Linked DNA regions of Pelodiscus sinensis. The protein of the gene in region 2 interacts with the protein of the main gene of each other region in a pairwise test. Links are inferred from orthologs where the notes say so. Each region holds a gene or a part of one and is shown on either strand. Other genes may lie near its edges.

Region 1 (7,663 bases), on a different chromosome or scaffold from region 2:
GAACTGGCAATATATCAAGAATAGTATAGCAACCATAACTTAGATTACCAAAGCAATGAAATTCACTTATATGTGGTAGCACACTAAAATACTTGCATGCTTTTTTAAAAATCCTTATTTGCTCTTTAAAGTCTTATTTGCATCAAAAAAGTGCAGACATACATAAGCTGAGAACCAGCCTTTTACATTTTCCCCTACAGTTAGAAGGGGATATTCTCTCCCAATACTTTGTAGGCTTTTCACTAAAGAATCCTATCAAAGAGTTAAATTCCACACTCCCATCCTGAGCATTTTACAGATGGTTCCATATATTAAGTGCCAGAGCTGGGCTTAGAACCTAAACTGGTCCTAAACTCAGACACTCAATTTCACCACTGGACTTCACTGCTTCCCATTGAACTTCTAGTTCTTATTAAAACCTTATTTCAACAGTCCTTAGTACTGGAATGCGGTAACATGAGGACAAAGTCACCCATTGACCTGCTGTTCTGAACACAGCCTATTACAAAATTCCCAAGAGCAAATATTGACAGTTATTGTGAAGCTCTAAAAACACACAGAAAAAGTTCATCTGAACAGCAGCAAAACAAGCTATGAAAACAATGGCAAGTAAAGAAAAGGAGTGAATGACAGGACTTAACTGTGACTCCACACGCCACCATCTGGACACAGACATAAAACACAGCTTCTCCCACCAGCAAAAGTGGAGATAAGAAATACACCCCACTGAACAACACGTTGTGCACCAGCCTGAAATCCTCAAACGCAGTATGTGCCTCAGGCCTGCGGTGCAGGGAGAATTGGGTATGAAAAAAACATGATGCACCCACCTGTGATACTGAGCTTGGAGGAACTGAAACTCCTCTTTGATCCGATCTAGAGACTCTGGAATAGTGAATTTAAAAGGCTGACCTGCAGCCTGGTGTGGTGTCTAGAAAGGCCAGGAGAGAAGAAAGAAGGCACAAGAAAAGAAAAATGTTTAAACAAAAAACAGTGAGCAAGGCCATAAGATGGGCATGAAAGATAAGCTACTTATCCCACTGTCTTGGCAGGTAGCTTCTTAGGAAGCACCTGCTCCCACCACCATTTGCCACCCTACAACTGGGGCACCTCCAGCAACACATGAACAACTGTGTGTGCTAATGGAAGCGGGGAGAAACTTGGAGATCCAGCTCCTCCTTCCACTTATCACGACTGCCCACTACACCTCCTCCCCCACAAAAAAAGAAGTTGGTTTTCACTCCACCCTGGAACACCCCTCAACTCTCCTTACACTTGTCACCACCATCCCAGGAAAACTAGTAGGTTGCTAACCGCTCCCTGCTGTAAAATCAAGTGCGGTGGGGGGGGGGGGGGGGTGGAAAGGCGAGCTCATATCCTGTCCCTGGGTCCAGCAGCCAGAGCTTATTTGGCCACAACTAAAGAAGGGGGAAGGAGCCAACCTGGCGGGGAGGCGGGGGAGCGTCCCGGCCCCGCCATTGTCATTTAGATGCAAATAAGTTACACATTAAAACAAAAGGGAAGGAGGGAGAGAGGAGACGCCCTACCCCCATCCCCCTATGCTCTCCGGTAGACAGGCAAGGTCTGAGTTCCGGGAAAGGGACACGCCGGGGGGGGGGGGGGGGGGGGGGGGGGGGGAGAAGAGCAGGAAAGCCAATAAGTTGCCTCGTGCCCTGTTGTGGGTCTGCTATTCTTAGGGCAGGAAGCCCAAGGGCCCGCGGGACTGCGAGAGCAGGAGGCGGAGGCGGTGGAGAATGTAGCCCCGACAGCGAGAGAGGCTGACTGGGCAAGCAGGGGTACTAGCCACTCACTCACTCACTCACCCTGGGGAAAGAGCAGCGGGGATCCCCGCTCTGTCACCCCCACCTGCGGGGTGTCCGGGCCTGGGGTTACTTACGGGATGCCGGCTCTGGGGAAACATGGCTCTGGCCGCCGCTTTGCTCCTGTGCAGCTCAATTCTCGACTCAGACCCCAACTTTAGATCCCGAGCCCCGTGCAGCCCCCGGGGGCAGACGCCACCGCTCAGCGCCCCGGCCGCGGCATGCTCCTCCCGTCGCCTCCTTTGTTGTTGTCGGGCTGGGGGCTCGGTCCCGCCGCTTTCTGAAAAGTCACCGGCAGGTGTCGGCTCCTTGGGCGCGCCGGCCCCAGCCGGTCCCCAGGCCGCGCCGCTCCGCGGGGCGGGGGCGGCACAAGGCGGGGGGTGGCTGCTCCCCTCGCTGCCTGACCGCCTCCTCCTCCTCCGGCCGCCGCTTCTGTCTGCAGCGTAAATAATCCCCTTTCGCAGGCTCGTAACTTGTGCAATTGTAAGACCGGAAACTCCGAGCGGGGGCGAATCCTCTCCCCACGGCTCCTGCCCGCAGGGGAAATCCAGGCCGGGGCGCGGGCGGGCTGGCACCAGCGGGACACTCAGCAGATAGGGGCACGAGAGAAAGTCCCCGGCGAGTGCCGCGCTGCTGCTGCTCCCGGGCGTTGGCGAAAGGGCCGCTCGCAGAGTAGCAGGGGCCGGCTCCAGCGGCACATGCACCGCGGAGACTCCTCGGGCCGTTGCAAAGAGAGAGGCACCAGCAACACCCACCCCCTGCTCCCAGGCCACCCTCCCCCCCAAGCGCACCCGGCAGGGCTATTCAAAGGCTAATCAACTCCTCCGTGGATCAGCCCCGCGGCAGCCTCGCTCGCAGCAGCGGCTCTCACCAGCAGCGCCCCGCGCGCAGCAGCATCCTGGGCCGGCGCCTCGCCCCGCTCACGGCCGGGACAAAGTTCTCTCCAGCGCCCCGGGGTGACACATCCAGACAGCGGCGGGCGGGGGGAAAAAAAACCCAGACCCCCCCCCCCACTTACAGCCGCGCCCCCATGGCTAATAGCGCGCAGGATGCAAACTCCGCGGGGTGCGGGCCGAGGAGCGCAGCGCCCAGGCAGTAGCAGGCTCTCGGTACACGGGACACAATGTATCCGCCCGCGCTGGCTACATTAACACGCGGTTTCACACTCCTCTAGCTAACCAGCCACCCGGCCCCGCCCACTCGAAGGGAGGTGGGGAGGACCCTGGCCAATCGCCTGCTCAGGCACCAACGTGGGGCGCTGATGTACTCCTCCCGCCTGCCCAATGGGGCAAGCGGCTGATCCCTCCAGCTCTCCTGGCAGAGCGGCAGGACCCTTCCGAGCGGACCAATAGGAGTCCGTGGAACGCTCAGAAAGGCTGGGGAGAACGGGAAGGACGGTGGGAAGGAGAGGGGAGAGGCTGAACTGTCACTCAAAGTAACGTGGGCGGGGGGGGGGAACCAGAGAGAAAGGAGGAGGAGGAGGAGGAGGAGGGGAAAGAGAATGGAGGAGGAGGAGGAGGAGGGGAAAGAGAATGGAGGGAGGAGTGTATTGCTGGGATCTGGTTTATTCCTCCACTTTGCCCTCCCTCCTTTCTCTAGTCTCAATCTGTGAAAGTAACATGGAAAGATAAATACTGCATCCTATTTTAGGGCAGGACCAGCTGCCTTTACAGCCAGACGTACAGTGCCCTGCTTAAACACACAAGCTAAGGTGTAGAGTGTTATGCACTAGGGCAGCCTTTGAGGTTAGTGTGTATATAGTTATCTGTATCCAATTTTTCTTAGAACAATTCACCTCGAGGACCAGAAGGAAAGTTATGAACATGACAAAACTCAGTTGCTGGAAAGCCAATTTACCCATAAGATCCACTAGTGGTCAACTATTTTAATGTCTTATGTATATACATACTCAGTTGTATTTAAATATAAATTATACAAATGACCACTTTATGCTATTATAATACAGATATACAGCCCATCCAAATCACCACAAATCAGGCCCCATTTTGCTCTCATACCTGTTTTTATTAAAAACAACATTCAGTGCTGTTCATTGTTGTAAATTGAAAGCACTTTTAGCCTATGATTTTTTATCTCAGCATTTACTTTCTAATTCTAACAGACAACTATGGTATGCATACATATTTGATTTATAGGTTATGTACAGACAGGTGCATAAACTATGGCACCCACTTATAGTGTATTTCAATAGAGGAGATACATAATAAAGTAGGAAGAAAGTCTCACCTCAGGTCTAATATATTGCAATATAATTTTAGACGGTAACCTCAGACAGAAATGAAGTTGTCCATATTGCGTAATACTGACTTTTTCTAAGGGAGTTTCATCAGAGCCAAGCACTCAGAAACTTCCAATATTATAAACAGTTTATAGGTCTATTTGAAATAGACTAGGGTCAAATCAATTCCACATGTTCCATGTGTGACTACCACCATGCCAAACACTGACACAGCCCACAATGGGATGTAAACATCTTTAGAACACATCCTCTAGTAACAACCATTTTATTTATAACAGAATTTAATAATCAAGCATCAGGCACGAATAGCTTTAAATTTAAAACAATGCTTTAATAAATGTTCATGTACTTATTCAGTTACTGTAATATATTTTACCTAGTGGAGAGATTCTAAATATTATAGGGAGCCACTTGAACATAAAGAGAGCAATTTAATAGTAAACATTTTTTCACCCTATATTTAAACTTTCCTTTAAATGTGTATGCGATTGATTTATTCATAATTGTACTTTCAGTATATAATTTAAATTAGAAGTGATTATAGTTACAATTCAATAGGAGTGAAATCGTTACATCTCTGAACAAGAGCAATGTATGGCTTTATTCAATTCTCTATTATTTTTGAACTGCTTTATTACCAATTTTACCTGCATTTAAGAAATGACAGAAGACAGAGGTGTGTGTGTGTAGGGGAAGGTGTGGATAACAAAAACTAAAACAAAGCTCTTATTACCTGTGAGTATTTTGCAAAATACCAGATGAATTTTGCACTCCTTAGGGTTTTGAATGTGATACTTATAAGGCTAAGAAAATATATTTTCTCCTTTCACCATTTCCTAAGGGTAGTCAACAAAGATTTGCTTTTAAATAGAAGGCAGTGTTTGTGGTAGCAGATTGTAAATTTGTCTAGTGGTTCATGCACAAGTCTGGGAGTCAGAATTTCCGAGAAGTCTATGGCCAACTCTGCCAATGATTTGCTGTGTTATCATGGGCAAGGCACTTAACCTCTCTGTGCATCAGTTTATTCATATAAAATAGATATTATTAGCATATTTAGCTATCTCACAGAGGCAGTAAGAAGTTTAATTAATTAATGCTTATAAAGCACTTTAGATTCCTCAGATGAGAAGTGCTATAAAATACAAACTATCATTATATATGGTAGGAGTGCACCTGGTAGTTATGGAACCTGAGACAACACAACACTTTCTCATCCAGCTTTGGTTAATACAATGCTTAGCCTGCTGGCGCAAGTTGTTAATGAGATATAAACAGATTAAGCATTAAAACAGCAGTATATTTTGGAACAAGAACAAAAGTGGATATTTTAATTGCTCACCTACATGAAAGTTGAAATGTCTTGTGATCTTTACCGGTATTTACCATATTTAAATTTTTCAGGGCATGTTTTAACAAATGCAGGAGAGCACTCTGTTTTCCTCATTCCTTTTAACAAGTTCTTTCTGACCTACTGAGGTGCCAGGAGCAGAGACTTAAGGGCATTTTGAGCCTCTTCCATCAAAATCAGAATGGATAAGCAGTAAAACCAGTCATAGAACTGTTTGATTATAAAACGGGTTGATTTTTGTAAAATGAAAGTTATTATATGTATTAAATAAATAAATAAATAAATACTCGTTCTTTCATGTAGTTAATTTATAATTCATCATGGTCTGATGGTAGGGGACCAAAATCTGCTCTTGGCAGACCATTTGTTGTTTTTTTACCAATGTAAATGTAATGTTAATTGCACTGGAGTCCATGATGTTTCTCAATACTTAAGCCAGTGCAACAAGAGCAAAATTTGGATACGTTGAAGAGTAAAGGTATAGAAAGCTCAGCTGTATCCCATTCAAGGTAATATTTTCTTTTAGACTGTTATACTGTAATAATTATACTACTGCATTAAAAATAATGATGTTTAAACAATCAAGCTGCTTTAATCTTATGTTTTAAATAAACATGCTGTTTGCAGAGGCCTTCAATAATAAAATACCAAAAATCTCTATTTAATCATAATTTCTACTCATTTATTTGAAATCTGATACTTTTTTCCCTTACTACGAGCATACTAATTTGATGTTCTGATTTCCGACAGTGTCAAGGCCTAATCCTGTTTTGATTTTGTACCAAAACTCACAATGACATCAGTGGGAGTTTTGGGTGCACAAACCAATCAGGATCAGGCCCAAAATGTAGTTTTATTATAATATTAGGTTTCAGATATAGCATCTTGCTCAATCAGAGGAATGATTTTCATTTGATTTATTTTTTTATTCTTTACAGTTAGCATTATTGGTTACAAGCAATATGAATACATTTTCACTTTTTAAAAATTCCCACAGAGTGGCAAAATCTTTATAATAAAATGCTGGTAATGTCAATTATCTGGAATTTGCTAATGGAGAAGAAAACTCTTTCTAAAAATTGTAATTTACTTCACTCCTCTGCAAACCATAATGCGGTAAGAAAAAAATTTAAAAGACAAGTATAAGATTTAATAGGGTTTATGCTTTTAAAATTATTTATTTAAAAATTCATTGGATTATCTTTCAGAAAAAGAAGATGAACATTTTAAAATATTTGGTTGCAATGTGCTTACTGTACAGCTAGGAGCAAAACTAGATGAAAGAGTGCCTGAGTCATATGGTATATGTAATATAATAGTGCTATATTTGAAGAGATTATAATGGTTATAATGAAATGCAAAAGGAGTATTTTTTCAAGATTCTGCCTTATTTATAAAATCAAAATTATAACAAGATAAAATTATTTACTTTATCATAATTCACTATATTACAGTTAATCAGCTCTTTACATATTTTTTCAACTTTTTTCAAATTAATAATTTGTCTTATAAACAGGAATTTTTGACAAGTTCCAGGATGACTTTTTTCCTTCATCTCGCGATTACCTTCTCTCAGTTTGTTGCCCTTAAAAAATTCTTCCAGACTAAGTAGGAAAAAAAAATCAGTAGCAAATTATGCATCAGTAAAACCTCAAATAAAATCAGATCCAAAGAATCTCTTGTGGTTTCACACAATATGGTAAAATTAGAGATTGCAGGAAACCAACAAAATTAAATTGGGAACATCTGAAGAGAAATGACCAGGGTTTATGAAAATGACACATTGACTAGCCAGTATGCTTTTATATCAACAATTTCTTTGTTAAGGCAGAGATCAAAGGAACCTGCATATGTTTTCATTTTATTTCAAGTCTAACTAGAAAATTACATCCAGATGTTTAATAGGCATTCTGTTGGTTTTTCTGCATTGATTAGATATGTTGGTACTGTTTGCTTACAAGTGTAGCCGGATCATTAGCTAATGCAAAGAAATGTTTGTAGTGAGTTGCTAATTAGGTCTTTTGGAAACTCTCCACACTCAGGAACAATTTGTATAGAGGCCAGAAGAACTTGCAATACTTGAAGAGTTGCTTTCCCGTCTGTCTCTGGGAAAAAACAGTCAGTCCCTTTCCCTAATCTTCTTTTGCCTACAGGGATTGCAGCTTGATCCCAGTGGGTTGAAGTGCAAATAAATTAGGAAGAGACCACACACACAAATCTCTTTTATCAGTCAAT
Region 2 (7,542 bases):
ACAAGCCCCCGAGCCACTTACCCCAGTGTTTAACCCCCCTGGCAGGCAGGAAGCATTTCCTAATGGCCAACCTCAGCCTCCCTTGCTGCAGTTTAAGTCTATTGCTGCTTGTCCTGTCCTCAGAGACCAAGGGGAACAATTTTTCTCCCTCCTCCTTGTAACACCCTTTTAGATACTTGAAAACTGCTGTCACGTCCCCTCTCGGTCTTCTCCTTTCCAAACTAAACAAGCCCAGTTCTTTCAGCCTTCCCTCCTAGCTCATGTTCTCCAGACCTTTCATCATTCTTGCTCTTCTCTGGACCTTCTCCAATTTCTCCACATCTTTCCTGAAATGCGGTGCCCAGAGCTGGACACAATACTCCAGTTGTCGCCTAATCAGGGCAGAGTAGAGCGGAAGAACGACTCCTCGTGTCTTGCTCACAACACTCAGGGGCTGTTTCTAGACTGGCAAGTTTTTCCACAAAATCAGATGATTTTGCGGAAAAACTTGCCAGCTGTCTACACTGGTCGCTTGAATTTCCGCAAGAACACTGACGATCTCATGTAAGATCTCATGTAAGATCGTCAGTGTTCTTGCAGAAATACTGTGCTGCTCCCGTTCGGGCAAAAGCCCTCTTGTGCAAATCATTTGTGCAAGAGGGCCAGTGTAAACAGCACAGAACTGTTTTCCGCAAAAAAGCCCCGATTGCGAAAATGGCGATTGGGGCTTTTTTGCAGAAAACCGCGTCTAGATTGGCCACGGACGCTTTTCCGCAGAAAGTGCATCCTGCCAACCAAGATGTGCTTTTCCGAAAATGCTTTTAACGGAAAACTTTTCCCTTAAAAACATTTTTGGAAAATCCTGCCAGTGTAGACGTAGCCCTGTTGACTCAGCCCAGAATCATGTTTGCTTTTTTTGCAACAGTGTCACACTGTTGACTCATATTTAGCTTGTGGTCCACTATGACCCCTGGACGCCTTTCAGCAGGGCTCCCTCCTAGACGGTCGCTGCCCATCGTGTGTGTGACACGGATTGTTCCTCCCTAAGTGGAGCACTTTGCATGTGTCCTTATTGAACTTCACCCTGTTCCCCTCAGCCCATTTCTCCAGTTTGTCCAGATCATTTTGAATTCTGACCCATCCTCCAAAGCACTCACAACCCCTCCCAGCCTGGGATCATCTGCAAACTTAATAATCCCGCTCTCTGCCACTTTCTAAATCATTGAGGAAGATACTGAGCAGAACCGGACCCGCCACTGATCCCTGCGGAACTCTTCTTGATCTGCCCTCCAGCATGGCAGGAAGGGTCCTGGAACAGCTGGTTATAAACCCCAGTGGTGTCAGCCCCGAAGAAAATAACCCTGGAATGAATCAGTTTCACAGCATTGCCCAAGAGGCTTTTTCTCCTGCAAGGAGGGGCCCTGTAGACAGCTCCTTGGGACAAGAGCCTCTTCCGCAAAATGGTGGCTAATTAGGTATGCAAATGAGGCTCCGGAGATATTCCACCTTAGTCTCATTTGCATACTTCTGGCGCAGGATCGGCCCGTGTAGACCCAGCCTAAGCGAGGTCCTGAGAGCAGCTGGACAAGGACCCAGCTCCCTCCTTACCCCGCCCCCCAGGAGTACCCGAGCGGGCAGCCCCTACCTCGTCTGTCATGTCTTGCCACCGCCCCATGTCGCTGCCCCCGCCCGCCCGCACCGGCTGCGCTCGGCTCGCTGCGTGGCCAGCGCAAAGCAACCCCCTGCGGCCGCCCGCGCGCGGGGTGGGGCCGGCCCGGCCCGGCCCCATTGGCTACTCTGGGGGGGCGGAGGCGGGGGGGGGGGCACCCGGGGGGCACCCTCCAGCAAAGCGCAGGAAGCGCCGCGGGCTCCCCAGCAGCAGGGCGCACAGCTGGGTCCCTCGGCCAGGCAGCGCCCCCAGCCAGGGGAGGGGTCGCATCGTCCCGTCCGCGTCCCCACTACAGCACCTGGTGCAGAAGCTCCCCCCGCCCCCGCCTGACCAGGCCTGACCCCCCCCAACAGCTGCCGTGTAGACAAGAGGGGAGACCCCTGCCCCGGAGTGGCTAAGCGCCAAAATAACAAAGAGCGTGGTCACCCCAAGCTCCTGCAATCCCCGCTCCCCCCCCCGCTTCCACTTGGCTTGGATCAGCCCCCCCTGCAATCCCCGCTCCCCCCCCCGCTTCCACTTGGCTTGGATCAGCCCCCCGTGCAATCCCCGCTCCCCCCCCCCGCTTCCACTTGGCTTGGATCAGCCCCCCCTGCAATCCCCGCTCCCCCCCCCCCCCGCTTCCACTTGGCTTGGATCAGCCCCCCGTGCAATCCCCGCTCCCCCCCCCGCTTCCACTTGGCTTGGATCAGCCCCCCCTGCAATCCCCGCTCCCCCCCCCCCGCTTCCACTTGGCTTGGATCAGCCCCCCGTGCAATCCCCGCTCCCCCCCCCCCGCTTCCACTTGGCTTGGATCAGCCCCCCCTGCAATCCCCGCTCCCCCCCCCCGCTTCCACTTGGCTTGGATCAACCCCCCCTGCAATTCCCGCTCCCCCCCCTTCCACTTGGCTTGGATCAGCCCCCCCTGCAATCCCCGCTCCCCCCCCTTCCACTTGGCTTGGATCAACCCCCCCTGCAATCCCCGCTCCCCCCCCCCCCGCTTCCACTTGGCTTGGATCAACCCCCCCTGCAATCCCCGCTCCCCCCCCCCCGCTTCCACTTGGCTTGGATCAGCCCCCCCTGCAATCCCCGCTCCCCCCCCCTTCCACTTGGCTTGGATTAGCCCCCCTGCAATCCCCGCTCCCCCCCCCCGCTTCCACTTGGCTTGCATCAGCCCCCCCTGCAATCCCCGTTCCCCCCCCCCCGCTTCCACTTGGCTTGAATCAGCCCCCTCTGCAATCCCCGCCCCCCCCCCGCTTCCACTTGGCTTGGATCAGCCCCCCTGCAATCCCCGCTCCCCCCCCTTCCACTTGGCTTGGATCAGCCCCCCCTGCAATCCCCGCTCCCCCCCCCCCCCCCGCTTCCACTTGGCTTGGATCAGCCCCCCCTGCAATCTCCGTTCCCCCCCCCCCCGCTTCCACTTGGCTTGGATCAGCCCCCCCTGCAATCTCCGTTCCCCCCCCCCCCCGCTTCCACTTGGCTTGGATCAGCCCCCTCTGCAATCCCCGCCCCCCCCCGCTTCCACTTGGCTTGGATCAGCCCCCCTGCAATCCCCGCTCCCCCCCCTTCCACTTGGCTTGGATCAGCCCCCCCTGCAATCCCCGCTCCCCCCCCCCCCCCCGCTTCCACTTGGCTTGGATCAGCCCCCCCTGCAATCTCCGTTCCCCCCCCCCCCCGCTTCCACTTGGCTTGGATCAGCCCCCCCTGCAATCCCCGCTCCCCCCCCCCGCTTTCATTTGGCTTGGACCAACCCCCCCCTGCAATCCCCGCTCCCCCCCCCGCTTTCATTTGGCTTGGACCAACCCCCCCCCGGAATCCCCGCTCCCCCCCCCCCGCTTTCATTTGGCTTGGACCAACCCCCCCTGCAATCCCCGCTCCCCCCCCGCTTTCATTTGGCTTGGATCAGCCCCCCCTGCAATCCCCGCTCCCCCCCCCCGCTTCCACTTGGCTTGGATCAGCCCCCCCTGCAATCCCCGCTCCCCCCCCCCCCCGCTTCCACTTGGCTTGGATCAGCCCCCCCTGCAATTCCCCCCCCCCCGCTTCCACTTGGCTTGGATCAGCCCCCCCTGCAATCCCCGCTCCCCCCCCCCCCCCGCTTCCACTTGGCTTGGATCAGCCCCCCCTGCAATCCCCGCTCCCCCCCCCCCGCTTCCACTTGGCTTGGATCAGCCCCCCCTGCAATCCCCGCTCCCCCCCCCCCCCGCTTCCACTTGGCTTGGATCAGCCCCCCCCCTGCAATCTCCGTTCCCTCCCCCCCCCCGCTTCCACTTGGCTTGGATCAGCCCCCCCTGCAATCCCCGCTCCCCCCCCCCCGCTTCCACTTGGCTTGGATCAGCCCCCCCTGCAATCCCCGCTCCCCCCCCCCCGCTTCCACTTGGCTTGGATCAGCCCCCCCCCTGCAATCTCCGTTCCCTCCCCCCCCCCGCTTCCACTTGGCTTGGATCAGCCCCCCTGCAATCCCCGCTCCCCCCCCCCCCCCCCGCTTTCATTTGGCTTGGACCAACCCCCCCTGCAATCCCCGCTCCTCCCCCCCCGCTTCCACTTGGCTTGGATCAGCCCCCCTGCAATCCCCGCTCCCCCCCCCCCCCCCCCGCTTTCATTTGGCTTGGACCAACCCCCCCTGCAATCCCCGCTCCCCCCCCGCTTCCACTTGGCTTGGATCAGCCCCCCCTGCAATCCCCGCTCCCCCCCCCGCTTTCATTTGGCTTGGACCAACCCCCCCCCCGGAATCCCGCCACGGTCTCGCCCCTCTGCACCCGCCCCGGGGCTGCGCGGCTCGGGGCGGGGCGGGGCGAACGCGCTGCGGGCCGGGGGGGCCCTGGGCGATGGGGGGGGGCAGTGACCCCGTGACCGCCCCGCCCCGCATCCGAGGACGTTTCCCGCCAGGCCGCTGATTGGTGGCCCGGGGCGCGCGCGGGACTGGCCCGCTGCTGATTGGCCGGCGCCGCTGGAGGAGCCGAGGCGCGCGGGCCCCTGCGCAGCAGCAGCGGGATGAGCCACCTGAGCGCGCCCGGGCCCGGCTCCCCCGCCAAGGCGCGTGGGCAGATCCAGGTGCGGGGGGGCGGGGGGGTTCGGGATGCCGGGTTCGGGGGGGGCGCAGGCCCGGGGGGGGGTTCGGGATGCCGGGTTCGGGGGGGGGCGCAGGCCCGGGGGGGGGTTCGGGATGCGGGGTTCGGGGGGGGGCGCAGGCCCGGGGGGGGGTTCGGGATGCCGGGTTCGGGGGGGGCGGGCCCGGGGGGGTTCGGGATGCCGGGTTCGGGGGGGGGCGCAGGCCCGGGGGGGGGGTTCGGGATGCCGGGTTCGGGGGGGGCGCAGGCCCGGGGGGGGGTTCGGGATGCCGGGTTCGGGGGGGGGGCGCAGGCCCGGGGGGGGGGTTCGGGATGCCGGGTTCGGGGGGGGCGGGCCCGGGGGGGTTCGGGATGCCGGGTTCGGGGGGGGGCGCAGGCCCGGGGGGGGGTTCGGGATGCCGGGGTTCGGGGGGGCGCAGGCCCGGGGGGGGGGTTCGGGATGCCGGGTTCGGGGGGGGCGCAGGCCCGGGGGGGTTCGGGATGCCGGGGTTCGGGGGGGGCGGGCCCGGGGGGGTTCGGGATGCCGGGTTCGGGGGGGGGTGCAGGCCCGGGGGGGTTCGGGATGCCGGGTTCGGGGGGGCGCAGGCCCGGGGGGGGGGTTCGGGATGCCGGGTTCGGGGGGGGCGCAGGCCCGGGGGGGTTCGGGATGCCGGGGTTCGGGGGGGGCGGGCCCGGGGGGGTTCGGGATGCCGGGTTCGGGGGGGCGCAGGCCCGGGGGGGGGTTCGGGATGCCGGGGTTCGGGGGGGCGCAGGCCCGGGGGGGGGTTCGGGATGCCGGGTTCGGGGGGGGCGCAGGCCCGGGGGGGGGTTCGGGATGCCGGGTTCGGGGGGGGCGCAGGCCCGGGGGGGGGTTCGGGATGCCGGGGTTCGGGGGGGGCGGGCCCGGGGGGGTTCGGGATGCCGGGTTCGGGGGGGCGCAGGCCCGGGGGGGGGTTCGGGATGCCGGGGTTCGGGGGGGCGCAGGCCCGGGGGGGGGTTCGGGATGCCGGGGTTCGGGGGGGGGGTGCAGGCCCGGGGGGGGTTCTGGATGCCGGGGTTCGGGGGGGGGGTGCAGGCCCGGGGGGGGTTCTGGATGCCGGGGTTCGGGGGGGGTGCAGGCCCGGGGGGGGTTCTGGATGCCGGGGTTCGGGGGGGCGCAGGCCCGGGGGGGTTCTGGATGCCGGGGTTCGGGGGGCGGGCCCGGGGGGGGTTCTGGATGCCGGGGTTCGGGGGGGCGCAGGCCCGGGGGGGGTTCTGGATGCCGGGGTTCGGGGGGCGGGCCCGGGGGGGTTCGGGATGCCGGGGTTCGGGGGGGGTGCAGGCCCGGGGGGGTTCGGGATGCCGGGGTTCGGGGGGGCGCAGGCCCGGGGGGGTTCGGGATGCCAGGGTTCGGGGGGGATGCAGGCCCGGGGGGGGGTTCGGGATGCCGGGGTTCGGGGGGGGCGCAAGCCCGGGGGGGGTTCTGGATGCCGGGGTTCGGGGGGGCGCAGGCCCGGGGGGGTTCGGGATGCCGGGGTTTGGGGGGGCGCAGGCCAGGGGGGGTTCGGGATGCCGGGGTTCGGGGGGGGCGGGCCCGGGGGGGTTCGGGATGCCGGGGTTCGGGGGGCGGGGGCAGGCCCGGGGGGGGGGTTCGGGATGCCGGGTTCGGGGGGGGCGGGCCCGGGGGGGTTCGGGATGCCGGGGTTCGGGGGGGCGCAGGCCCGGGGGGGGGTTCGGGATGCCGGGGTTCGGGGGGGCGCAGGCCCGGGGGGGGTTCGGGGGGGCGCAGGCCCGGGGGGGGTTCGGGATGCCGGGGTTCGGGGGGGCGCAGGCCCGGGGGTGGCGTTCGGATGCCGCGGTTCGGGGGGGCGCAGGCCCGGGGGGGTTCGGGATGCCGGGGTTCGGGGGGGGTGAAGGCCCGGGGGGGGTTCGGGATGCCGGGGTTCGGGGGGGCGCAGGCCCGGGGGGGTTCGGGATGCCGGGGTTCGGGGGGGCGCAGGCCCGGGGGGGGTTCGGGATGCCGGGGTTCGGGGGGGCGCAGGCCCGGGGGTGGCGTTCGGATGCCGGGGTTCGGGGGGGCGCAGGTCCGGGGGGGTTCGGGATGCCGGGGTTCGGGGGGGGTGAAGGCCCGGGGGGGGGTTCGGGATGCCGGGGTTCGGGGGGGCGCAGGCCCGGGGGGGTTCGGGATGCCGGGGTTCGGGGGGGCGCAGGCCCGGGGGGGGTTCGGGATGCCGGGGTTCGGGGGGGCGCAGGCCCGGGGGTGGCGTTCGGATGCTGGGGTTCGGGGGGGGCTCACTCAGCCCCGGTCTCAGGTCGTTTCCTGTCTCCCCAGGTGATTTTCGGGCCCATGTTCTCCGGGAAGAGGTAGGGGCTGCGGGGTTCTCGCTGGGGGGTCCCTCGTCGAGTCTCCGGGGGTGGGTCGCGCTGCCCGAGGCTGGGCTGGGGCCCCGGGGCAGGGGCTGGCGCTTAAGCTGCTTTGCTGGGCGTCCGTGCCTAGATCAGCTGCTAGCGGAGCCACAAAGGGCCCTTCGTGCTGCCCACCTGCCTCCCCAGGTCCCTGCTCCCATCACAGGGCTGCCAGCTGGCCTCTGTGTCCTTGGTAGGCCTGCCCCCGCTGCGCTGCCTCCTGCTGGGATGCTGCTTTGCATTGGGGGAATCCTTGGCGGTAATAGCCATTCCTGCCCCTGTGCTAGCCTCATGCTGGGGCTGATTGTCTTGTAGCACGGAGCTCCTGCGCCGGGTCCGCAGATTCCAGATTGCACAGTACAAATGCCTTTTGATAAAGTATGCCAAGGACACGCGCTACGGCACCAATGGGGTCTCCACACACGACAGGTGAGCTCATCCCAGTATCGGGGCGGGTAACTATAGAGAACTCTGCTTACAGTTCAC
Region 3 (7,415 bases), on a different chromosome or scaffold from region 2:
ATGGGTGACATGGGAGGAATCACGTGAGGATTACCTGTGGTGTTCCCTCCCTCTGGGGCATCTGGTATTGGCCGCTGTTGGCCAACAGGATACTGGGCTAGATGGACAGGTGATCTGACCCAACCTGGCCGTTCTTACGTTCTTGGTACTTCTGTGATCAGCAGAGGCCAGAAAGACTTGAACCCCCAAGTCCCATTGCAACATGCTAGAGGCACACGGCTGGAAAGCACAACAGCCTGTTCCTCATCAATCAGCAGGGCTAATAACTCAGATGTGTTACCCCACAGTGACTAGCCTCCAAAGGACTGGTTCCCCCTTTGAACCTACACAGCACAAGGGGTCACCTGGAGGCATTCTCCTGCCCTCTGCGCAAAGTCCCCAGTAGAGACCAGCAGCTCCATGGATACTTTGTGCATGGAGGAAGAGAAGCTCAGAGAGCAAAGACTCTCTTCCACAGCCATAACCTGCCCCTCCTCTTGCAGCAGTGACCAACATAGGGCATGTGGGCTCTCAGCAAAGCCAGCTGAACAGAAGAGGAGTTTAAGAACAGACTATGGCAGAATCACAAAGCGATTTAGAAGGCACAGAAAACCCCACGCGAAACTATTTTAAGGAACAATCCTGGGTTACAAGCTTAGCAAACCATGGTTTTTCTCCCTGATCCTCTTCCCCACCCCAAGCCAAGTGGAAGGTGGGAAAGTCACTGCAGCTCCCCCCATCCAGTGAGTTACGTTGATGCTGTTCACCCCCAACTCCACAGCCAGGCACAATGGCAAGAAGTGCCATCACCATTCAGTGCTGCCCCCAGCACCCAGGGCTCTGCCCACAGGGCTGGCTCATGCATAGCTGTCTTGCAAACACAGGAAACCAGGCCACAAACTTCAGATTGAACTTCAGACCAGGGCAGGTGTCTCTGGGCATCAGCTAGGGAACATGCAGCACAAAGCCACCACCTCAAGCTGTCCCATAGTCTGTCCACACGGACAGAGAAACATTGTGTCCCACTGAAGCTGTCCCCTCTAACAACAAAGCTAAAGGCTGAAGGAGCTGGGTGCTTCTGAATTCGGAGACTTAGTTGGCCCTGCATTTTCAGGGTTTAAGCACCAGCTCCTCAGCCTACACCATCAATGCCCCCCTCTTCGGGGGAAGGTGCTGTCCTGTGCCACCCCTTTGTCCTCAGGCAGCCCCCAGAGACACAGCCCACATGCAGTAAATACCCAGTGGCAGGGCTGGCCTTCGGGAGATGGAGCGAGAGGACAGACAAAATTCAGCAGGTCTCCGACGTACCCCCCACCTCCGCCCTTGCCCAACTGGGCAAAGCAGGGCCTCTGCCCTGGCACAGACTGCTGGGCACACAGACAGGAGGGAAGGGCCGGGCCAGGCTAGCAGAGGCCTTAGGGAACAAGGGGTCACTCCAGCCAAATGGGGACTGGAAACAAGGCAGGAGCCCTATGCAAGCCCAGGGCCCCAGCCAGCCCGCTGGAGGGTGGGCACACCTCCCCCTGCAGGGACTGGAAACAAGGCAGGAGCCCTATGCAAGCCCCGTGCCCCAGGGCCCCAGCCAGCCCGCTGGAGGGTGGGCACACCTCCCCCTGCAGGGACTGGAAACAAGGCAGGAGCCCTATGCAAGCCCAGGGCCCCAGCCAGCCCGCTGCAGGGTGGGCACACCTCCCCCTGCAGGGACTGGAAACAAGGCAGGAGCCCTATGCAAGCCCCGTGCCCCAGGGCCCCAGCCAGCCCGCTGCAGGGTGGGCACACCTCCCCCTGCAGGGACTGGAAACAAGGCAGGAGCCCTATGCAAGCCCCGTGCCCCAGGGCCCCAGCCAGCCCGCTGGAGGGTGGGCACACCTCCCCCTGCAGGGACTGGAAACAAGGCAGGAGCCCTATGCAAGCCCAGGGCCCCAGCCAGCCCGCTGCAGGGTGGGCACACCTCCCCCTGCAGGGACTGGAAACAAGGCAGGAGCCCTATGCAAGCCCCGGGCCCCAGGGCCCCAGCCAGCCCGCTGGAGGGTGGGCACACCTCCCCCTGCAGGGACTGGTAACAAGGCAGGAGCCCTATGCAAGCCCCGTGCCCCAGGGCCCCAGCCAGCCCGCTGGAGGGTGGGCACACCTCCCCCTGCAGGGACTGGAAACAAGGCAGGAGCCCTATGCAAGCCCCGTGCCCCAGGGCCCCAGCCAGCCCGCTGGAGGGTGGGCACACCTCCCCCTGCAGGGACTGGAAACAAGGCAGGAGCCCTATGCAAGCCCAGGGCCCCAGCCAGCCCGCCGCAGGGTGGGCACACCTCCCCCTGCAGGGACTGGAAACAAGGCAGGAGCCCTATGCAAGCCCCGTGCCCCAGGGCCCCAGCCAGCCCGCTGCAGGGTGGGCACACCTCCCCCTGCAGGGACTGGAAACAAGGCAGGAGCCCTATGCAAGCCCCGGGCCCCAGGGCCCCAGCCAGCCCGCTGCAGGGTGGGCACACCTCCCCCTGCAGGGACTGGAAACAAGGCAGGAGCCCTATGCAAGCCCCGTGCCCCAGGGCCCCAGCCAGCCCGCTGGAGGGTGGGCACACCTCCCCCTGCAGGGACTGGAAACAAGGCAGGAGCCCTATGCAAGCCCAGGGCCCCAGCCAGCCCGCTGCAGGGTGGGCACACCTCCCCCTGCAGGGACTGGCACCCCCGAGGAAGGGGAAGCGAAGGGGCAGGCCGGGGCCCACGGGGGCGGGCCCCTCTGCAGGGGCAGGCCGGGCCGAGCACTCACCGCCCGTGATTTTCTGCAAGCCCAGCACGTCCTCGGGGCCGATGAGCGGCTTGCGCAGCAGCTCCTGCTCCTCGGGGCCCGCCGCCCCGCCGCCCCGCTTCACCCGCATGGCCGCGCTGTCCGGCCGGCCCGCGCGACTCTCGGCGCGGAGGGCGGGCTCACTCATCCCCCGCCCGCGGCTTCGGCGTCTTTGCCGGCAGAGCCCAGCTGCCGCCGATCCGCCCGGGCCTAGCTCCGCCCGCGGCGGGTGGGGCCACGCGGCCCCTCCCCGCCGTCAGTGGCCGGGAGTTCCACCGACCCTGCCTGTCTGCCCCGTCTCCAGCCCAGCCGCGGTGCTGTCAATGCCCCCGCCGGGCTGCGGCCAGATGCTGGCTGCCTTCCCTCCAAGCCAGCAGAAACCGGCTACCGCGGCCAGGGAAAGACATGCTCGGTTGCCTTCCCGCAGGCCAGTCTGTAAGTCCCCTCCACTCAGCGCCCCACTGCCTGCCCTCATCCCAACTCTTCTAGGGCAGAAATGGCAGAGGGTGTGGGGAAGGGGCTTTCTGGTCAGGTTGCTAGAGGGGAAGCCTGCGAATCAGTCTAAAGTGCAGATGATACACACGGGAGGTTCAAGGGCTTTCTGCAGTTCACAGCCATCCTCTATATAGCCCCTTCTTCTGTAAGCCAGTTTTCAGAGGACTGTGACTCAGCTGCAGGAGCAAGACAAAGGCTAGAGCAGTGGTGAGCAACCTGCAGGCCATGGGCCATATGCAGCCCGTCAGGGTTCTGTGTGTGGCTTAAGAGACATTTCATTCACCAGTGTCCACATCCGGAGGGTCAGATTATGCTAGTTTCTGTCTCTGTCATTTTTTCCCCTACCACTATTACTAAAGTGACAAGGGCATAGGAAGGGAGGGCTGGTCACACGCAACACTGACTGTGAGAGTTCTGTGCTCTCTGCATCCAAAGTGCTGTTCCAGTTCAATTGGCACACCCCACAAATTCCAGTTAGCAAAACTACCCCACCCCAGAAGACCACCTTGATTATAAGTCTTGTGGCCAACTGAGATGAAGAGCCTATGCTGCCCGTTGTTGGTATAGAGCTTGCAGTCACTGCCTGACCCCTCTCCTCTTCCCAAATACTTTAAGCAGTGTGGAGCTGCTGGAATTTTTAATCCAGAAATTTCTTATGCTTCTATTTCTGAAAAGTAGCTGTTTAGACCCATCAGGATGCTGGCTCACATCCTTATTTTAAATGAGATATAGCAAACTGAAAGGCATTTCCTAAGGAGATTTAATAGACATAATTAAGGTGGCTACTGTCAATCCAGACTAGTAGCAAATGCACATTTTAAAGAGAAAAGCAAAGGCAGTTGCAGGTTTATTTCACACTACTTCAATGTTTGCGCACGCACACACAGGTTACCTTACCAGTTCAGCTAGCCTTGCACTGGATGTGCCTGGAGTTGGATAATGCAACTTCAGGAACGGTGTAGGCCACGCAGCATCAAGTTGCAATTCAAAGAGCACTTGCTAGCAGTCTACACTGAAGTGTGTGATAGGTCATGCTGTATCCTCATTTTCAGCAGCAAAATTGAATCAAGAAGCTAGGAGTCCATTCAAATCCTGCTGCTAGGCCAATCCAGGCAGAAGTTAGTTCAGTTCTACCCAATGCTGCAAACTAATGGAAATACACCCAACTGCATCCTGATCCAACTCTCAGCCTCTTCCAGCCTTCTCCATTACCAAAACAGAAGTGGGGCTGGCTTTCAGCAACACTGCTTCTCATTCAAAGTAACACTGGCTGTACCTGGAACATAATGGACAGCTGAAACTTCACTCTGTTAGGAGTTTCAGGCCCCATGCAGTAGGAATAGTAAGTACAGCAGGTCAAGTTATGCTAACAATACTAGGTGGTTGCGTCTAGACTGGCAAGTCTTGCCAGCTGTCTACACTGGCCGCTTGAATTTCCGCAAGAACACTGACGATCTCATGTAAGATTGTCTGTGTTCTTGCGGAAATGCTATGCTGCTCCCATTCGGGCAAAAGCCCTCTTGCGCAAAAGCATTTGCGCAAGAGGGCCAGTGTAGACAATGCGGTATTGTTTTGCGTAAAAAAGCCCCAACTGCGAAAATGGCGATCAGGGCTTTCTTGTGCAAAACTGCATCTAGATTGGCATGGACGCTTTTCCGCAAAAAGTGCTTTTACGGAAAAGTGTCCGTGCCAATCTAGATGCTCTTTTCCGCAAATGCTTTTAACGGAAAACTTTTCCGTTAAAAGCATTTGCAGAAAATCATACCAGTCTAGACATAGCCGGCAAGGGGATCAGGATGAAACAGCAGGAGCTGGATTGAGGTGGGGGTAGTGGAATGGGGGAGGGGAGGTAAGAGGGCAGTAGGAGCTGCTGCCCATGACTGAAGCCCTGGTGCCTCATTACACCTCACTGGTGTAGCGTAGGTAGGAAACAGCCCAGACGGCTCTGATTCCACAGCTGTGTTTTGAGACATCTTGCCTGCTACAACTGCCCTTTTCGGGTAAGACTGCTGGATAAAGGAAGCAGGCCACAGTGGGTATCAGAATCAGTGGTTATGAGATGGATCTAGTTACTGACCAATCAAGAGGACTGCATGCTACAAACCACACAGGATAAGATTCTAGCCAAGAGCACTGCTTGGTGCCTCAGACCTGTCTGCTTTGATTGTTCATTTCAAGGCAGCTCAGTTAGGGAGGACAGCTTGCAGCCTAGAATCATAGAGCTGGAAGAGACCTCAGAAGGTCATCAAGTCCAGCCCCCTGCTCTATGCGGGACCAATTCCAACTAAATCAACCTGCCAGGGCTTTGTCAAGCCGAGACTTAAACATCTCTAGGGATGGAGACTCCACTACTTCCCTAGGTAACCCATTCCAGTGCTTCACCACCCTCCTAGTGAAATAGTTTTTCCTAAAATCCAACCTGGACCTCTCCCACCACAACTTGAGACCATTGCTCCTTGTTCTGCCATCTGTCACTACTGAGAACAGCCTCTCTCCATCCTCTTTGGAACCTCCCTTCAGGAAGTTGAAGGCTGCTATCAAATCCCCCCTCACTCTTCTCTTCTGCAGACTAAACAGACCCAACTCCCTCAGCCTCTCCTCATAAGTCATATGCTCCAGCCCCCTCATCATTTTGGTTGCCCTCCGCTGGACCCTCTCCAGTGTGTCCACATCCTTTTTGTAGTGGGGGGCCCAGAACTGGACACAATACTCCAGATGTGGCCTCGCCAAAGCCGAATAAAGGGGAATAAAGACATCTCTGGATCTTCCGGCAATGCTCCTCTTAATGCAACCTAATATGCCATTAGCCTTCTTGGCTACAAGGGCACACTGGTGACTCATATCCAGCTTCTCATCCACAGTAACCCCCAGGTCCTTTTCTGCAGAACTACTACTTAACTGGTTGGTCCCCAGCTTATAACTATGCTTGGGATTCTTCCGTCCCAAGTGCAGGACTCTACACTTGTCCTTGTTGAACCTCATCAGATTTCTTGCGGCCCAATCCTCCAATTTGTCTAAGTCATTCTGGACCCTATCTCTGCCCTTAAGTGTATCTACCTCTCCCCGCAGCTTAGTGTCATCCGCAAACTTGCTGAGGGTGCAATCCATCCCCTCATCCAGGTCATTAATAAAGATATTGAACAAAACCGGTCCTAGAACTGAACCTTGGAGCACTCCGCTAGAAACTAACCACCATCCTGACATCGAGCCGTTGATTACTACCCGCTGGGCCAGGCCTTCTATCCATCTTTCTATCCATTTTACCGTCCATTTATCCAATCCACATTCCCTTAACTTGCTGGCAATATTGTGGGAGACTGTATCAAAAGCCTTGCTAAAGGCAAGGTATATCACATCCACTGACTTCCCCATGTCCACCGAGCCAGTTACCTCATCATTGAAGCTAATCAGATTGGTCAGGCACGACTTGCCCTTTGTAAATCCATGCCAACTATTCCTAATCACTTTCCTCTCATCCAAGTGCCACAATATGGATTCCTTAAGGATCCCTTCCATGATTTTTTCAGGAACCGAGGTAAGACTGACCGGCCTATAGTTCCCTGGATTGTCCTTCTTCCTTTTTTTGAAGATGGGCACTACATTTGCCTTTTTCGAATCCGGGATTTCTCCCGATCTCCACGACTTTTCAAAGATAATGGCCAAAGGCTCCGCAATGACATTTGCCAAACCCCTCAGTACCCTCGGATGCATTAAATCTGGGCCCATGGATTTGTGTATGTTTAGCTTTTCTAAATAGTTCCTAACCTGTTCTTTACCCACCAAGGGCTGTCCATCTTCATCCCATCTTGCGTCACTTAGCGCAGAAGTCCAGGAGCCAACCTTGTCCATGAATACAGAGGCAAAGAAAGCATTGAGTACTTCAGCTTTCCCCACATCATCTGTCACTAGGTTACCTCCTTCATCCAGTAGGGGCCCCACACTCTCTCTGATCACCTTCTTCTTCTTAACATGCCTGTAGAAACCTTTCTTGTTATCCTTCCCATCCTTAGCCAATCACAATTCCGTTTGCGCTTTTGCCTTCCTGATAACCCCCCGGCATTCTCGAGCTAGACATTTAAACTCCTCCCTGGTCATTTGTCCAAGTTTCCACTTTTTGTAAGCTTCCTTTTTGTGCTTAAGTTCACCAAGGATTTCCCCTGTA
Region 4 (6,872 bases), on a different chromosome or scaffold from region 2:
GCGGTACATTGGGACACACTTGAGTAGAGGGATCATTTTCCTTAACAGCTAAGTGGCATGTGCATGTATTGGCAGAAAAACTAAAAACTGATCTGTCAAAGGAGTAGAGCAAGACGGACTTGAGTAAATGCTCCAGCGTAGTAACACGATCCAGATTGAAAAGCAGATCCACTGAGCGAAGGTCTTCTGAGAAAGGAAACAAAGTATCTGTAACAAAGTATCTGTAGAGATTAAACCATTTTCAGTGGCACTTGACAAGTGTGCATAATCAAACAGAAATAAGTCATTAAAAAGGGAAGAAATTTAGACCAACATTCAATGCAACTTAAATTTGGTAGTCTGGCAGAGAATGTCGAAAAGGTTCCAAAATCTTACTCTAAGAAAATGCACCAGTCTGTCGTATATATACACACAATTTTATACACACATACCTTTGACATTTTGGAGGAGCAAACAATGGTGGATTCATCTGTTGGCTCCACACCCTGGTCCCATAGATGGGACAACACTAGTTAACTAGTGATACTTCATAAAAAAAAAGGCAACATTTTTTTGTTATGTTAAGGAAGGAAAAAATGCAAAACTGAATATGGTAGCAATGGTAGGGTATGTCTATACTACAGAGTTTTGTTGGAAAAATGGCTGTTTTTCCAACAAAACTTGAGGAACATTCACACTACAATTGAGTTCTTCCACAAGAAAATTGAAGAAACAGAGGGGGTTTTCTGGCATTGGTAATCCTCATTCTATGAGGAAGAAGCCTTTTTACAAAAGAGCTCTTTCACAAAAAGGCGTGTGTGGACGGGGAAGAGGGAGTTCTTTCAGAAAAAGAGGAAAAAGCACAGGTGCCCTGGTGGCCATTCCATCCACTGCTTACATGCAAGAGAGCATACATTTAGTCAGGACGCTCTCTTGAAAAAGCAGATCGCTTTTTCGATGCACTGTTGCAGAGTGGACGCTCTCTTTTGGAAGAAGTTGTTTTGAAAGATCTCTTCTGAAAGAAGCCTGTAGTATAGTCGTAGCTGTAGAGAAAGAAAGATCTTTGCAGGCTTTCTATAGGTATTAAAAATAGTGGGTGAAGAGGATCCTATAGAAATAAGATTATGTATAAAAGTATTTCTTGTGTTCAGCTTTGAATTTGCCATCTTCCCATTTCATTGATTGCCTCCCCATATCAACAAACAGGGAAAACAGATACTCCTGAATTATCTTTTCATACCATTTGCTATTTTGACTAATTTATCACATTCCCCTTTTACTTATCTGCTTTCTAAGGTAAAGAATTCCAGTTCTTTCATTTGGAGCATTTCCCCCATGTTACTAATAATTGTTAGCCTTCTGAACTTCCTTAATTCTTCATCCTTATTTTTGAGAAAAAGGCCACTAACTACAGAGAATATTCTAAATGAGGGCTTTATGAATTTAGTGTAGATGCACTAACCCTTAAGTTGTTTGCTTTTTTGAAATGAGCTGCACAGAGAGATGGTGAGTGAGTTCCAAATTTAGCCATCTGAATAGTTACAATAATATAGAAGATAACTTAGGAGATGCACCCATTAATAAGTTTTTGCTTTTAAGCATTTTATTATCATGCTACTTAGGGGATTTTGTAGCAATGCACCTAAAACAGTAGTTTGACTGCAGTTTATACATCAGGTCATAATCAATAAATCCTATTGCTTTTATAAAATCTTAACTTTGGAGCACTTCACCTTAAAATATGTGATGAAGGTTCACATCTGTAGCCAGACTTTAAAAAATAAATAAATAAATAAATAAAAAGGGAGAAATCCTGAGTCAGAGTTGAAGTAACATGTCCACAGCCATACATGCAGGATTAGAAGTCAGGGATTGCTGGTTGCCAGTCTTGTGATCAGACCACATCTTTCACCCCACCCCATTATTCTCTGCTTGAAGCTTCTCGACTGCAGCATTAAGTTATTTGAAGTCATGCATTACAAATATGGATATTCATAGGGTGGGGGGGAAAGAGTGTTTGGTTCTTCTCTGGTAGAAAGTAGATGAAGAACAGTGGACTGATTTGAAAAAGTCCTCTTGTATTTGGATCCTAACACATCATTAATAAGATCTGATTACAGAGGCAGAGTTTGCTGACTTTAAATTCTGCATTTTACACATGGCAATAAAAGAACATAAGGCATCTAGCTAGCAGATGTCAGTCACTTCTTTTTCCTTGCTTGACTCAAAAGGTACAAAACAAAAAAATCAGTTTATCTTAAAATGGCCATGCTGGATTGTTCTAAAATGTATTTAGGGGTAAGCATCAGTTTGGATGTGAGAATTATGTAGGTTCAAAGACCTAAGTTATGGCAAAGCCAGACCTAAACTCCTTTTAAGGCAAGGCATATTATGAAAAGACCTATCCAGTGCAAGAGAAAAGTCATCCAGTAGGTATAATAGATACAGATCTGCAGAGATTACACGTTTCTTTATTTCACCCCATTGAAGGAACAAGGGGGGAAAGGAAAGAGAATTTTAATTATATCTCCCCCAAACACACATCTTTCCTCACCTACCTTTTATTTGGTCCCTGTGGTGGTGCTCACACTCAGCACATGGAGCGAGGAGTCTTACAGTGTTATAGAGATGACTTTTGTTGGCTTTGGGGATTCCTTCTTTTGTAGCAGACATCTTATATAGCCTCTTCATATACCTAAGGGCTCTGGAATTTGGCTGGAGTCTTGGGACCTCACTTTCCCAACTGTGAGGTTTCTGGTCAGACAGCACCTTGAGAAGAGGTGGCAGGAGGGTATAACCTTTTCTCACACCTGGCGGCAATAGCAACAATGGAGGCTCATCCTCAGGAACAAACAACAGCTCAGGCATCTTCTCAGACACTGTCTCATCCCTAGAGCTGGGGGAACACAGAGCAACAGAAGAAAGCAGGCGAACACAATAATACAAACAGATAAAGATTTTCCAGGGAATTGCCATGCTGCTGGAGGCCATAGTAGAAAAACCCTCATCCCATGACAGGTTGTATCTTAAAACAGAAAAATAACTAAGCCTGGCCTCTTAAATATATTTCAGGTGTGAGTGGGAAGGAAGTATCTCTCTGTTTACACCAAACGGAGAGATCTACAGCTGGAGAGTGAATCCAAATGGCCATTTGAGTTCAGGCTAGAATCTTTGCACATGTAGGCACTTTGAAAACTAGCACACCACTCTCACCACTTACCCATTTTCACATGGAAACCATTAGTGATTATGAAAGGTACTAATTAATTAGCATGTTTATTCTCTCCAGAAGGGACAAGGGGAAATGATGGATCAATAATACTTATTTTAGTTGGCTATAACTACAACCCTAAAGCAGCTTGTGGCATTCAAACATGTTTTTACCACAATAATAATTCTGCCCCCCAATCCCAACCCCCCAAAAAGTAACTGGTTAAAAAACCTCAATGATAATCTTTCAATGAGCTGGTAAGTAAAAGGTTTCTATAGGAAAAAATTGAAATGGGGTTTCTTACAATACCATAGCTGAGATAATGGAGAATAAGAGAAGAAGGAAGTAGGGGATAAAGTTCAGAGTTCCTGGGTGAAACAGAAAACAAGAATCCTTCATGAATAATTCTTTAATTTGAAATCTGATGTTTAGCTGCTCTGGTAAATGCTGGACATGGTATGATAGGTCACTCTGGTGAGCTAAGCCGTGGTAGTGTACTAGTAACAAAAGTGAACATATTGTGTTCTAAACAAGGGTCTCTGAGATAGAAATAGCTGAATTCCTATCCCCACTCACCCTTTAACTTCTTGTGTGATCTGTGAGATTTAGAGTGAGATGTATATTTGCACAAGGGGATTTAGACACCTTCTTCCTGTTTTTAGGCACCATTGTGATCCACAAACCCCACTCAGCTTCTGCCCAACCCAGTGGGCACCCAGACTCATTGGCTATGTCTACACTTGCGGCTTCTTGCGCGAGTAATATGCAAATGAGGCTAAGCATGGAATATTGCTGAGCCTCATTTGCATACCTAATGAGCCACCATTTTTTTCAGAAGAGGCTCTTGCGCAAGAAGGAGCATCTACACTGCCTTTTCTTGAGCAAGAAAAACCCTCTTGTGCAATGCCGTTACACCTATTACTTGAGAGGAAGAACGGCGTTGCGCAAGAGGGTTTTTCATGCGCAAGAAGGGGCAGTGTAGACGCTCCTTCTTGCGCAAGAGCCTCTTCTGAAAAAATGGTGGCTCATTAGGTATGCAAATGAGGCTCAGCAATAGTCCACGCTTAGCCTCATTTGCATATTACTCACGCAAGAAGCCGCAAGTGTAGACATAGCCAATCAGTGTCAAGGGTTTTCCCTTTTGGCATGTTGTGACGGCGCGTTGGGGGTTCCCCGTCTCCTGCACCCCAAAATGGCATGAACAGACTGCACCAGCCGGTGGAATAGAGGAAGTTTATTGCCTCTCCATGATACAGCACAGCACAGATGTAATCTGGTCACAGAGCTGGGCTAGGATGCCTCAGGCCCCCTTGAGATGGGGGAGACTGGGCCCCTAAACTCCAGTCCCTTTCCCTAGGCTGTCTCCTCCATGCTCCCAGACACCAACTCCCTCACCCTCTTCCAGCCCTGCCCCCCAGCCAGGGCAGCATTCCACCTTCCTTTGTTCCTCTCCATGGGGGGTGGCTGGCCATACTGGTTTGCATAGTGATTCATCCTGTTTTGCTGGGTTGTGGTACCCACGGCAGCCAGTGGGGGTTACCCCAGAGCCAGCAGCATAGAAACCAGCCAGGTACCCCCAGAGACAGCAGCATAGAAACCAGCCAGGTACCTCCACTACGTCACACATGTGCACTACAGTTTCATTCTAGGCTCCTATTTCCCACCTGAGCGTGTGCACTACTGCTTTATAAAAGGTGTCAGGAGATTGTCTCCTGCCTAAGCCTCAGAGTGATTCACCTGCTGGGGAAGACAGGCATCCAGCCAAAGTTCTGTGTATAGCTACTGGGCCAGAACCCTCAAGAAGCTCATATGAGATCTGCTCTGCTCTCATTACATCAGGTTTTCACTGAGCTGGGCAGATTCTGAAAAACATTTTCAGCTACATTTCATTTTGTGAATAGGACTGTATAATAAGTTATTTAGAGTGTAGTTCTTGTGTTTGTGGCAACTATTGTACAAATCAACAGTGAATAAAATAAGCAATTTAATACATTTAATGTGTGGTTGCAAATAATATGTGCTTGACTGTGTACTGTAAAAGACTTGTATTTTTGGTTAGTTTATAACAAATGAGCCAAATTCAGATATGGGTTGTGTCGGTACAGCTCACTTAACCCATGCCTGATCTTGGCTCAATCCTTTTAAAACAACATAGAAAACTCACTAGTAATACCTGAGGTAATTACAAATCAATGAATGTTAAAAATCTTATTTCTTTTCCCCCACAGATGCTATTAGGTGATTTTACAAAAAATAAACAATCTTAGTTTGTCCCAATTTGTTTCTCTTTTGTACTTTTTTTGCCCTGGCTTTGCACTGTGATGTCTAAATTGCAAATACTAAAGGCAAATGTTTAAGGGCTTTTTTTTTCATTCAAATTACAATAAAAACAAAATTTTAAAAAATCATGCTCTAGGAATACTTTTTTTTTGCACTCAACTACCTGACCACACCAGTAGAAGTATTAATTACAGTGTAAAGTAGCTGACTTATAGTTGTCTTTGCTGTTAACATGCTTCTGGACTTTCATTTCTCTGCAGACACTAATACCAGTCTTAGAGAAATGGAATGGAAAAGTAATTGTGGTTATAGTGCCCTCAGATTACCTTTCAATCCCTAAGTAAAGCCCTTCTCCCTGCAATCTGAAATCTAGGCATCCATATAAGTAGGGTGCTTTTCAATCACAGCCAGCTATCTGTGGAATGTGCTCCTAAAGACCTTACTAGAGCACTATTGATTACATCTGGAATGTATGGAGCTGCCTGTTGCTGAACATGTCTAATTGGGATTTTTAAAAATTTTATTAGGATAACACCTGAGAGAATCTCTATTCTTGTCAGTTGTTTTTAATTAGAGCCATGTTATCAGTAGTGTGGTAAAATGTCACCCCATCGTTTAACTTTCCTATCTCGCTGTTTCCAAGAAAGGAGCACTCGTTCATAGAAAGTTAATTAACTTACAAAATGTCAGGCTGGAATACTTTCACTCAGATTGGAAGGTTAATTATAAAACTGATTAGGATTATATTCAGCTAACCATCCACATACCAGAATAATGTTACCTTGTTCTTTTTGCCTTCTCAGAGCTGATTATGTTGTGATAAGAGGAGAGCACTGCCACTTCTAAGGTCAGTTACATTTAAACATTTTGTTAGGTGGGTTGGTTTATACTTCCATACACTTTTAAAATAGTATTCATCAAGCAATGTACTAGTATCAATCCACTCCAACAATTCTTAACTTCTAGGTGTTGTGTGAAGTAATAATAAATATTTTACTATAATTCTACACAGTGGATCCTAGTAAAATCTCAGATATTCTTATGCATACAGTACACTGTGAGATGAGAGGGGTTTTAAAAGAGCTACCACTTTCAACATGTATATCAGGTAGACTGGGTGGCTCAAGGAAGTAGTAATGTACTATAAAGGTTTAAATACCTAGGTTACAGGTGCGAATCTCATCTTAGTCAGAAGTGCTCTAAAAATTGCCATTGTTTGGTGGCCTGTGTGAAATGAGTTGTCCTTTGCAGTGGTCAAGTGTCCCAGTTACCAAAAGCCGTGTATATTAACTGGCCCCTGGTTATTAGTCCTGACAAGAGAAGGTATGGACTGAATGGTGTAATTGCATGGTCACCTTTTTTCTAATTTCCACCAATGTGCTACCCAAGGTAGCAATGATGA

Evidence for each region.
Region 1: the proteins of TK1 (region 2) and TLE1 interact in a two-hybrid assay, tested with the Homo sapiens proteins (2 studies listed by BioGRID and IntAct). The link is inferred for Pelodiscus sinensis from reciprocal best matches to the Homo sapiens genes TK1 and TLE1.
Region 3: the proteins of TK1 (region 2) and UNC119 interact in a two-hybrid assay, tested with the Homo sapiens proteins (2 studies listed by BioGRID and IntAct). The link is inferred for Pelodiscus sinensis from reciprocal best matches to the Homo sapiens genes TK1 and UNC119.
Region 4: the proteins of TK1 (region 2) and GDF9 interact in a two-hybrid assay, tested with the Homo sapiens proteins (2 studies listed by BioGRID and IntAct). The link is inferred for Pelodiscus sinensis from reciprocal best matches to the Homo sapiens genes TK1 and GDF9.

Annotation. Positions count from the first base shown.
Region 1 is NC_134716.1:39,162,221-39,169,883, forward strand, and holds the start of TLE1 (transducin-like enhancer protein 1), read right to left. Parts: upstream 3,007-7,663; 5' UTR 1,922-3,006; coding exon 1,898-1,921; intron 932-1,897; coding exon 831-931; intron 636-830; exon of another isoform or gene 163-635; intron 1-162. UniProt on the Homo sapiens protein: Transcriptional corepressor that binds to a number of transcription factors. Inhibits NF-kappa-B-regulated gene expression. Inhibits the transcriptional activation mediated by FOXA2, and by CTNNB1 and TCF family members in Wnt signaling.
Region 2 is NC_134730.1:29,476,442-29,483,983, forward strand, and holds the start of TK1 (thymidine kinase, cytosolic), read left to right. Parts: upstream 1-4,528; 5' UTR 4,529-4,615; coding exon 4,616-4,675; intron 4,676-6,982; coding exon 6,983-7,014; intron 7,015-7,371; coding exon 7,372-7,485; intron 7,486-7,542. UniProt on the Homo sapiens protein: Cell-cycle-regulated enzyme of importance in nucleotide metabolism. Catalyzes the first enzymatic step in the salvage pathway converting thymidine into thymidine monophosphate.
Region 3 is NC_134731.1:102,321-109,735, reverse strand, and holds the start of UNC119 (protein unc-119 homolog A), read right to left. Parts: upstream 3,004-7,415; 5' UTR 2,907-3,003; coding exon 2,741-2,906; intron 1-2,740. UniProt on the Homo sapiens protein: Involved in synaptic functions in photoreceptor cells, the signal transduction in immune cells as a Src family kinase activator, endosome recycling, the uptake of bacteria and endocytosis, protein trafficking in sensory neurons and as lipid-binding chaperone with specificity for a diverse subset of myristoylated proteins.
Region 4 is NC_134727.1:24,606,360-24,613,231, forward strand, and holds the start of GDF9 (growth/differentiation factor 9), read right to left. Parts: upstream 3,010-6,872; 5' UTR 2,971-3,009; coding exon 2,538-2,970; intron 187-2,537; coding exon 1-186. UniProt on the Homo sapiens protein: Required for ovarian folliculogenesis. Promotes primordial follicle development. Stimulates granulosa cell proliferation. Promotes cell transition from G0/G1 to S and G2/M phases, through an increase of CCND1 and CCNE1 expression, and RB1 phosphorylation.